Linked DNA regions of Solanum lycopersicum. The protein of the gene in region 2 interacts with the protein of the main gene of each other region in a pairwise test. Links are inferred from orthologs where the notes say so. Each region holds a gene or a part of one and is shown on either strand. Other genes may lie near its edges. The genes, in order: actin-related protein 2/3 complex subunit 3, protein SCAR2 and protein BRICK 1.

Region 1 (3,758 bases), on a different chromosome or scaffold from region 2:
CCCTTATATGGCTTTTCAGAGGTAACAAAGGACATCCACAAGCTTTACTAATTCCTTCCTCATCAACGAAACTGGAATGATAAACCTGCAATTGAATCAAAATCAGGTTTCAGCACTCAATGGGACAAGTTGTTATGGGTTTAAACACCCTATAAAACAAAAATAATAGAGTGAATAAAATAGAAAGGACAAATTCATTAGAGTTGAATACAGAAAATTCATCGCCAAGAAAAATAGAGTCCTCAAACAACCCCGGATAGCAGATGCACATTAGGGAAGAGATCCTGAACGATCATAAGGACCATCAGGCGCTCCAAGACCAAGAGCATCCAAGGATTACACATCAAGAAGTTACAGATCTCTAAGAGATAATCAGAAGATGCTTGGAGAGCATGGCGAAGATTCGAGCAAAGCATATCATGTTTGAGAGTTCAAGGAGTGCTTGGAAGTGGCTGAAAAAAAAACTTGCTGGAAAGTAAAGTCCAGCACACGGCTAAGGCATTGGGTGTGGACAGAAGGAGCTAAGGCTGGACGCCTTGCACCGAAACACAAACACCAAAAGTTAAGCGGGCTGGAAATTACGACTCAGTGCAGCGGGCTGAACTTGAGGAATCGGTCATGTGTGACACACTGGTCTTACAAATTGGGAGGCTTTTCAGTTAGTGTAATTTATTCTTTTCTCAAACATAGGTAATATAATCTGCACATAAGGTTAAACTCGTTTTTAGAGAGGTTTTGATATAATTTTGAGATTGATATCTTTCTGAGGCTCAAACAGTCTTTGTCCGGACTGAATTTCAAAATTCTTTCAAGCTTGAACCTTGGTGGTAATTCTTTTTACTTCTAAATCTTTATATTTTTGGTTCTTTCTTTTCTGTTCTTCAGTTTTGGTTGGAATTTCTATCATGTTATTTCCATTAATCAGTGTGTAAGATACCGTACTGCATGCATGTATCCAAATCATATCTAAGTCCCCTACTCTAAATCAGTTACTGTCTTGTTTATCACCATTAGACTATATATAGACTTCTTGAAGTGAGTACAGATCAAAGAAAGACCACAATCCATCCCATATTGCCAATAACAGATCCTCATTGCCAAGATGTTTTAAAAACAGAATACAACATTTGTCATTTATTTATTCCTCTTTGAAGAAACCAAAGTGTAACTCAAAATAGTGGAATGAACACATGAAATGTAAGCCATGTAGCTCATTTAGTGCACCAAACCAGGAAAAGGGCCAAGTCGATCACCAAAGGAAAAGAAACAGCATGGTTTTCATCATGCGTGGAAGTTATCACACTATCAACTCAGAGAGATAATTGTCACCAAAGTAATGAAATATGTAAGCAAAAAAATGCTTTCTTTACCATTTTCCTTGCTGAAAATTTTGCTTCTTAGCACCAGAAGGCAATGTATAATTTCGAACCAAAGAGGCTATAACACCAATCTGCAGATGCACTCATCAAGTATCAGATAACTAAGATTAATTAGAACACAACTAACATGACTCCAATATAAGAGGACGTGCATCAAAATTTACGATTACTTCATCTACATCAGATAACTAGCTATGCATCTAAGTAATATTCAGGTAATCTTCCATATAGTCCAACATCTTCCGTCCTCTCTCCCCTTGTTCCTTTTTTATTTCCAGATCATCTATGCACTTTCATTCCCAACCATTCTATTCGTATCTTTTTAATTTGCGCTACTATAGAATTATCCATTAAACACAGGCAGAGCTACAGCTTCGACCAAAACCAGTAGGTTCGGCTCAAATCTTGTATTTGCGTTTAAGAATCCACCTAATATGCATAAATAAGTTATCAATAACTTAGTAAACACCGTTTTCTAGAATCCATACACTCAAATTCCTAGCTCACCCTTGATTAAACATGGTTTAGCAAATCATGTAAGTTATCTTACATTTCCCATAACATCAACTATAATGCCAGTTTTTCCCTCTTTAGTTACACATCAAAAAGTTCCCTATATCGCCATAAAAACACAAATATAGCATCTCATTTCCAATTTTAAGTTTTTTTTCAATCCGAATTCTATAAGCAAGATCTCCGACCTAGCTATTTCCCCTAATTCCCAAGCGAATTATATTAACTGAATTACGATATCAATTAAACAGTTTAAAGCATTTTGGAAAAAGCAATTATAATCACAGTAGTAACAATCACGGCAACAGTTTCAACAACAAAAACGCAATATGTTAAACATATGATAATAAGAGTAGATACGAAAAGATATGCAACAGATCGTAATTTTACGTACTGGATTTCCGAGAAGAGATAGTTAATTTCACCGGCGAGAGATGTTGAGATCGACAGGGATGGGTGATATTTTCCGGCGAAGATCAAAGAAGAAGTGAAGAGAGAATCGGGTATAAACGGTGATGGTAGTTGAAGATGGGCTTAACGATCAACTATTATTGGGCTCAATGTTTATGGGCCTCTTCTTAACCAATTTGAAGTTTAGTAAAATAGTACGATAATTGAGGTATAAGAAATAACGAGCGATAAAAGAAATTGAAGGACGAGAAACTATATGAGTAATGCTAGGACTACTAGTGTGGACGTATAGCAAGACGACACACACTACTGCCTACTAACTTCTTTAGCCTAATACGTGCCTTTCAAAACCTTATATCTAAAGTCGTATCCTTATTAAGTCGAAAATGTGTCATGTTCTATCTAATTACCTCTCTCCAAATACTTCTTCGACCTATCTCTACCTTTTCGAGGCCGCCCATTATCAACCTCTCACACCTTCATATTGGGACATTCGTGCAGCTCCTCTTTACATACATTAGCCTTGCTTTCTACATCTTGTCCTTCATCAAAATCACTCTCATGCACCTTGTCTCCGAATATCCTCGTTTCTAATCATGTCTTATTATTATTCCCACACATTCATCGCAAACATTTCATCTCCGTAGCTTTCATATTTTGAACATGAAAGTTCTTGACTAATCGACACTCTATCTCATACTATACGGTAGGTTTAACCATCACTTTTTGTCAAACTTGCCTAGCATTTTTTTCTTTCCTTATACTTTATGTCACGAATATACAGGTATCATATTGTTAAACAACGTAAATATATATGTATAATTTTTTTTTAATCAAGAAATATATCCATTTCAAATCACAAACTTAACGTTATATTTGCGCCTTTTCCATAAAGTATATATGATTTTTAAGGAGTCTAGATTTAATAATAGACTAATTGAAATACCCTACTTTATAATTCACCAATAATAATGATGACTACCTAATTTCTAAAAGGGGAATAATTCTAGGAATAATGCTATTCTATGAAAACTTTTGATAATGACATTGTTTTGAAAAAATTATTTCTCTACTTTTTCTTTTTTTTTAAAATTTGTGGTCTTCATTGTTCTAACTCTTAATCTTAAGAATAATCCATCACAAAATTCTCTAATTTCAATCAGTTCAACTTGCAATAATTTTGGGGCTTAGCTTTTTTCTAATTACTTTAGTTGATTTTGAATTGAAATATTGATATATTAACAAATTTAACATTCTTTTTTTTCTAGTAAAATTCAATATTTCAAAGGGAGAGTGTGGAAAGGGAATCTGTGCTAATGTTAACGTCAAAGTTATATAATTGAATTCAAATTAATAAGTTAAATATACCAGCTGTCTGGAATAAGTTTTTATGTATATTTAAATTAAAATTCTATTCGTAAATATAATGATATAAATCTATTTTGATTGTGACAT
Region 2 (3,758 bases):
GAGTTAATTTATAAATCATTTTATTAATATTTTATAATATATTTTTAAGTCATATTAATATATATAAAAATTATAATTTGTATTATTTTTTATATAATTTCTGAATATATATATTTTTATTTAAAATATAAATTTATTTAATCTTATTAATTATAAAAATTATAAATTAACTTTATAATATATGACATAATAATTAAAAGCGGACAGAAGAAGAAGTATAGAATTAAGGAGGCCCACAATGAAAGGCATGACAAGCTCAGCCGCGTTTGTCCACCGTATTTTATTTGTCTGAGTCTTTCCGAAAATTCCCAGGTTATATTTAAAAATATACACACAAGTATAAAATATGAATTAAATTATTAACACCATTTAAAAAAATATAATTAGTGAAACAAACATTTTAAGTCTCCAACCAGATATATTAAAATTAAACTGAATAGTAGTTGAAACTTTCATCTACAATCAGTAACCAAAAAAAAAGTTCATAGGTAATTTTTATCATGAAAATTGTAATTTTTATAGGTAAAGTTTGTGCTTTTATCTAATAGCTTGCACCAGATTTGGTGAATTCGAACCAAATCTCTTACTTTTGTTGAAAATAAAATTTTAAATAATACTCCACTAAATATATATAATATTCATATATGATTAAAATTTTAATATAACTAAATCGTATAATTTTCAAGCAAAAGCTTCTCCACTGGCTAACGTGTAGTTTCAGTTTATCACTATCACATGTGTATTGAAAGAATACATTTTCTTTAATTTAATATAATTGATTGTTTTGATTTTCTCTAAATTATTTTAACTATAGTGGTATAAATTCACTTTTATTCAACAATTTAAATAATGATTCAAACTAAAAAATTTAAGATAAAATATTTATATATAATTATAAATTAAAAAGTTTAAAATTTGTGATTCCTAATAATGGTAATTGATTATTTTTATAATAATATTAGTTACTTTAATTTCAACTTCAGTAATTTAATTGATGATATAAGTTGTTAAGATTAAATATTTATATAACAATAATTATGAAATTACAGGTATATCAACTTACTTTATCAGTTAAGAAATTTTTATTTGTTATTTTAAAATTGAAATCAATTAATTTACTCGATATTTATATTTCAATATTATAACCATCTAAAAAATATGTTATACAAATTGAATAATGAACAATATATAAGATAAAAGAGCAGTAGAAACGAGTATTTAATATAGTCAACCGACCCTCTTCTCTGTTGAGTCCTCACCTCTTCTTTCAACTGTACATTCACATTCGCCTCAACTCTTTCTCTCTCTATAGCTACAATTACCAACGAAGATACAGCTTTACAGAGACTCCATTGATACTCCATGTGCATGAATTCAATGGCAAAAATGTAATGTTGATATTCTGAAGAGAACGTTTGATGAATTAGGGTTTAGATTTTGTTGAAAATGCCTGTGAATAGGTATCAGATTCGGAACGAGTACAGTTTGGCTGATCCGGAACTGTACAAAGCTGCTGATAAAGATGATCCAGAAGCTCTACTTGAAGGCGTTGCCATGGCTGGACTTGTTGGTGTTTTGCGTCAGCTTGGTGACCTCGCCGAGTCAGTATCTCCTTTTTTGTTTTTCTTGCTTTTATTTTATCTGATGCGTTTTTCGTTTTCAATTGGCTGATTTTAGAATTTTGTCGTTTTACAAGTGAATGCTTTCTGGATTTTTATGTTTCAATCCACCTTTATTTTCGTAATTTTGGATCGATATAGTTAAATATGCGAGTTGAGATAATCAGTATTGAAATCTGTTGAAATTTGGTAGTTGGAAGATGCTTTGTAGTTATTGAAAATGGAAAGTTGAATTTGTGAGTCCATTATTTGAAATGTTATTTGATTGCATTGTAGATTTTCTTTTTGTTGTTTTTTTTGACAATTATTGCATTTGTATAATGTGACTACTTTTTTTTATTTGTTGCTTTTTTCGGCTGTTTGATTAAGCATTTACAAGTAGTTCTGTTCTGGGTAAATTCATACGGAGTTCCTGTTTTTTTTATTATTTTAATCTAGATTATGCTTCTTAGAAGATGAGGGAATTGAGATGGTTTGGACTTACGAAGAGGAGACGTGTAGATGCCCCAGTGAAGAGGTGTAAATAGAGGGTATGAAGAGAGGGAAGAAGTATTTGGGAAATGTGATAAGACAAGATATGCTGTAGCTTTAGGTTACCAAGGATATGACCTTAGAAAGGAGGGTGTGGAGGACATCTATTAGGGCTGAAGGTGAGTAGAGTTTACTGTTGTATTGCTTAGGATGACTGATGTTTGCCATGATACTAGTTATATTATTGTAGTTCTTGTTTTTTTTAAAAATTTTTATCATTGTTTATTGTAGTTTGCAATCTATCCTAGTATGTTATTTATTGTGTTTCGGTTATCACATTACTTAATTGTTTTTTTTGGCTCCTTTTTGGTAGACTTTGCATTGTTTCCTTGTTACCTGCTATATTCTTTTCATTGTCTCTTTCTTCTTTGTATCTGGATTTGTTGCATTTGAGCCAATGGTCTTTTGTAAACGACCTCTCTACTTCCATGAGGTAGTGGTATGGTCTGCATACGTTTATGATTTAACCTTCCCAAACCTCACTTGTACATTTAACTGGGTATGTTGTTGTTGTATGCTTGTTAAAAAATGTTCAGAGTATGTAGAGCTTAATCTATTGAGTTGCTGATCAATTAATTGTAAGGCATAAAAATTTGGTAGTATCATTAAAATGTGGTGCCAAATATGGGTCTCTTTGCTTATACACTCTCCCTGTAAGTGATTCCTGATCACTTTATTTTGTAAAGAATGTACTACAGTTGTTCTGTTTAATTGTGGTAGCGACTAAAATGTTGGTTTTCTTTTTTATTGTAAAATTGAAGGTTTGCTTCTGAGATATTCCATGACTTGCATGAAGAAGTGATGGCAACTGCTGCAAGAGGTCATAGTCTAACGGTCAGGGTCAAGCAGCTTGAAGCTGATTTTCCTTTGATTGAGAGCGCATTCCTCTCACAGACCGATCACTCTTCTTTCTTCTATAATGCTGGTAAGTGCTAAGAGTATTTCATTGGCCAATAACACCATACAAATTCTGGACAACTTAGTATACTTGCTTTTTTCGCGCACTTTGATAAACTCTTCTTGCTTCTTCTTAATTCTGTACCAAAAGATAACTGTCCTTCCTAACTGTTTTATACATGTTTGTGGTGCATGTGTGTGTGTGCAGAGAGAGAGAAAGAGAGAGGAAGAGAGAGCATAGAAAGGAATATTTGTTTTTTATTTTCCTGAACATAGAATGTGGTGTGTATGAATATTAGTGTTTCTGCATCTGAAAAAAATGGATATTAGTATTTAAGCAATTTATTGAGTTCCGATATAACCTATTAGTGAAAGTGTTCGTAATAACCTATTAGTGAAAGTGTTCGTAATACAAATGTTATTTCAGGTACTGATTGGCATCCTAATCTGCGAATCGACCAAAATATGGTTACAAGGGGAGATTTACCTCGATTTGTGATGGATTCATATGAAGAATGCAGAGGTCCACCTCGCTTGTTTCTGCTAGACAAGTATGCTCTGTTTTTGACAGCTTTAGTTGCATAGAGTGTTAAACTTTGTTAGAACAGCGTTTGTCAAACTTAATGGTATTGTAACAGGTTTGATGTTGCTGGAGCTGGAGCATGTCTGAAACGTTATACAGACCCTTCATCCTTTAAAGTCGAGACATCC
Region 3 (3,758 bases), on a different chromosome or scaffold from region 2:
AGTGAGGCATTGTAAGTTGAAGAAATGCATATTTCTATTGATGGATATTTGAAATCTTTAACTAATTCTGAGTTGTTTAAATTATATAACATTGTTAGACTGTTGTATCGTTTAAAGAACAGGTCAAGAAATATATTATTGAATCGATGTAAATTATGTCTCAGAAACTTGAATCTCCTTAAAAAAAACAGTGAAATTTTCATAGCTCATTCTAAATATATATTTATTCAATTTATTTTTTAACTACAACTTATATATTACAATAATTTAGTCAAGAAGGTATTGAAGAGATTAAACTCCTAGTAGAATAAACTCTTGTCCTCTGGCCGGAAGATACATTCTGATAGCCCATCTTTTGCAAACTATGTATTGATAACTGAATATATTATGAATCATATTAAGACTCCAAAATATATTATGGAGTATCCACCGTAGTTAGTTATTTTTAATCTTTGATTTACAAAATCATTTGTCAATGTATATATTATCGTTGTTATTAATAGGTGCATAGGTCCATCTCCTATATTTGATGAGAATGTATATTCCTATTATAAACGTGAATTTGTTTATCGATATTCAGGTTCAAGATTAAACACTAATTTTATATGGAGATAAGTATTGAAAATTTTATTTTCTTTTTCTTTTATATATCATTTCAACTTCTTTTCGTTCGTACTTTCTTCATATTATTGATTAAATCTGAATCTTTAGTAATGACAATTTCTATTCATACTGGATCGATTTTTCAAGAAAATATTAATATCAAGATTTTATTGAACTTTCTAATCAAAATAAGTTATATGCAATTACGTAATCTGCAGATAAATAATCTCATTATATATTGATATGGGGTAAAATTCTATTGTTATAATGATTCTAATCCCTCTTGTGAACAAGAGTTAAAGTGTCACTATGAATCGGGGTGTAGTATAACTATTGTGAGGAAAATCAAATGATGTATAAGGTGAAGGGATACATTTGATTGTTAACTGCGTCATGTCATGTGTTCCTATTTGATTTTTCATTAGAGTGAAGAATATATATATATTTTAATTTTTGAATGACAAAGACATTATTCAAAAATATGACAGATTATTTATATACCATTTATAATAGTTTGAATATATTTATCATTTTTTCTCTTTTAAAATAAGTGTAAGAAACATATTTAAATTATTTTTTTTGAATTTTATATCTAAAATATTGAACATATAAGTATGATATCAATTATACGTATTTCTCAAGCCAATATGAAATTAATATTTTAAGTTAAACGTATTTTCGACATTTATATCTATCTTCTTTTTTTTTAGAAAAAAACAGATTTGCAAGTAGAGATGCTTGCCTTTGAAGAACAAAGAAGGTAATCACTATCTCCTCCATTTTCCTTTAACCTAAAACTAATCATTGCAGAATTGTTTGTTCTCCTTCCGCATCTCTCTCTCTTTCTTCTCCGTTGATCGGAAAACAGTGACCAGAAATGGCTCGAGCCGGAGGAATAACAAACGCGGTGAATGTAGGCATAGCAGTACAAGCAGATTGGGAAAATCGTGAATTCATATCTCACATCTCTCTCAACGTCCGCAAACTCTTCGATTTCCTCGTCCAATTCGGTAAATTTCTCTAACTCATTCAATATCCTTAGGGCAAATATTCGGTTTTTGTTAAATTCCTGTTGTAAAGCGATTTCGGTGTTGATTTTGTTCTACTTTCAGAGGCGACGACGAAGAGTAAATTGGCGACACTGAATGAGAAGCTTGATACACTGGAACGTCGTTTGGAACTGCTTGAAGTCCAAGTCAGTACAGCAACTGCTAATCCAGCTCTGTTTAATGTTTGACATGATGCAAGCATTGTACTAATATTCTCAATCTGTAAGGTACTTCAATTCTGTATTATAAATAGATTGCTTTGTTTTGGAGATCATATTTGTGAAAAGTCCTTGTTTTATGAAAATCTCAATCAAATGTGCCTGAATTAGTTAGGTTAGCTATATGAATTTGTGTGAGATTCGGCTCTATTCAAGTACATTATGTTCGGATAGTTAATAATCAGTTGCAATTTTGTGGAAATGATTCATGGAATTTAGTAGCTGCAAGTATGCATACCTATTGGATCTACAGTTTCTTTCATCTAAGTTTTCAGTTCGCTAAAACTACTGTGTTGGTTCATTGCTAATGCACAATGGAGATTGTCTATGTGTAAATTGGAATGATAAGTTGATTTGAGGGGTCAAAGCATTACTATAAATTCTTCAAGACCATCTTAATCTTTTGACCTAGTTAATATGAAGCAAATGTTGTTTATACCTTCTGTAATGCCGTTTTGATATTCTTGCCTGTTTTCTTCATATGGCTTCTTGGAACTTTAATCTGCTGGATCTCAGTCTCTTATTTTTCTCTGTGAGTTGGTTCTTTTCTCATGTGCGATGGAGATTTATATGTGGAAATAGGAACATTGTGCTTGTTCATTTATAAAAGTTACTTTACCTTCTCTGGGAAAAAAATGATCGTTTTACCTTCTCATTTTTTTTCTACTAACTTTTTATGTAATACAATCATGTGAAATGTCATTCTTGTAGTCAGTAACCAATCAACGATGCTTAAACTAAAACTTGTTGTGTCATCTATGTGAATCCTCTAATCCATCCTGCTTCTTTGTAATACTAAAAGAATTATCTTTTGAAGTAAATTAGAGGTTTCTAGATCATACTTGGACATGGAAGCTTTAATTAGGACTTCCTGACTTGTAGCAGTTTTTAATACATCCTTGTTTTTAATACGTCCTTCGTTCCAATTTATGTGGCGTCGTGTGACTGGCACAGAGATTAAGAAATTAAAAAGACTCTTTGAAGTTGTGGTCTAAAACAAGTCAGAGATGTGTCTAGTAGGAAATCCTCATTAAGGGTAAAATAGAAAGTTTAAGTAAGTATGACATTCTGTCTAGGACAGACTAAAGGTGAAAGTAGACACATAAATTGGGACAAAATGAATAATCGTTTTCAATACAGAGTTTAACATAATGAAAGGTTGGACATGAGAATGAAATAGCTTGCTGGCCATATACCATACAGCTATATTCCAGACTGGTTATTGTTAACATGGTTGATTTATCTATTAAGGGTTACTTGGTATTGACTGCTATTGTTTACATGTTTTTCCCTTGCCTTCTTCATACTAGCCACCAGGTTCGTAGTTTAGATTGAGCACTGTTTATTTACAAAGTTATAAGATTATATTAATGTTAAATTTGTAATGGACTTATAGCCTATAGGAGTTAAGTAATAAGTTTTAGTTCTAGTTGGAAGTTGTATTATGTGGAAGTGGACAAGTCCATTAAGAAGATCTGGCAAATGATCCAGCTCGTAATTTTTGGTGTCTATGCGCAGAAAGGAACAAAAGATGTTTTGATGGGACTTCAACTCCTCACTGCTCTCTTAAGTCCAAGTGTTTGATAAATCTCTTTAGAAAGAGCAATCTATCCCCTGTAAATGGTGTCATTCCCCTTTAGATTGTATCAGCTCCCTCTCAGTGTCTTAGCAGCCTTGAGTTCTAGTTTCTTTTATCTGAGATAATTCAACTCTTGTCAAGAAAGAAAAGAAAGAGAATCTGAGATAATTCATTCACATATTTCTCAGATCTCTCAATCCAGAAACACCTTGAATCAAGTTATTTTCTAATTAGCCCTTCAACTTGATCACATTGCTTTCTTTCTATCAAACACATCTCATTTTTACGAAGACATGAAACTTGTGTTTT

What was found.
Region 1: the proteins of protein SCAR2 (region 2) and actin-related protein 2/3 complex subunit 3 interact in a two-hybrid assay, tested with the Arabidopsis thaliana proteins (2 studies listed by BioGRID, with this or other methods). The link is inferred for Solanum lycopersicum from reciprocal best matches to the Arabidopsis thaliana genes SCAR2 and ARPC3.
Region 3: the proteins of protein SCAR2 (region 2) and protein BRICK 1 interact in binary tests that used the Arabidopsis thaliana proteins (3 or more experiments, as listed by UniProt). The link is inferred for Solanum lycopersicum from reciprocal best matches to the Arabidopsis thaliana genes SCAR2 and BRK1.

Annotation. Positions count from the first base shown.
Region 1 is NC_090806.1:3,894,593-3,898,350, reverse strand, and holds the start of actin-related protein 2/3 complex subunit 3, read right to left. Parts: upstream 2,463-3,758; 5' UTR 2,287-2,462; intron 1,451-2,286; 5' UTR 1,374-1,450; coding exon 1,371-1,373; intron 86-1,370; coding exon 1-85. UniProt on the Arabidopsis thaliana protein: Functions as a component of the Arp2/3 complex which is involved in regulation of actin polymerization and together with an activating nucleation-promoting factor (NPF) mediates the formation of branched actin networks.
Region 2 is NC_090808.1:7,931,395-7,935,152, forward strand, and holds the start of protein SCAR2, read left to right. Parts: upstream 1-1,214; 5' UTR 1,215-1,446; coding exon 1,447-1,601; intron 1,602-2,911; coding exon 2,912-3,075; intron 3,076-3,474; coding exon 3,475-3,598; intron 3,599-3,685; coding exon 3,686-3,758.
Region 3 is NC_090802.1:8,364,012-8,367,769, forward strand, and holds the start of protein BRICK 1, read left to right. Parts: upstream 1-1,262; 5' UTR 1,263-1,363; exon of another isoform or gene 1,364-1,471; 5' UTR 1,472-1,480; coding exon 1,481-1,613; intron 1,614-1,715; coding exon 1,716-1,840; 3' UTR 1,841-1,879; exon of another isoform or gene 1,880-2,072; intron 2,073-3,758. UniProt on the Arabidopsis thaliana protein: Involved in regulation of actin and microtubule organization. Part of a WAVE complex that activates the Arp2/3 complex.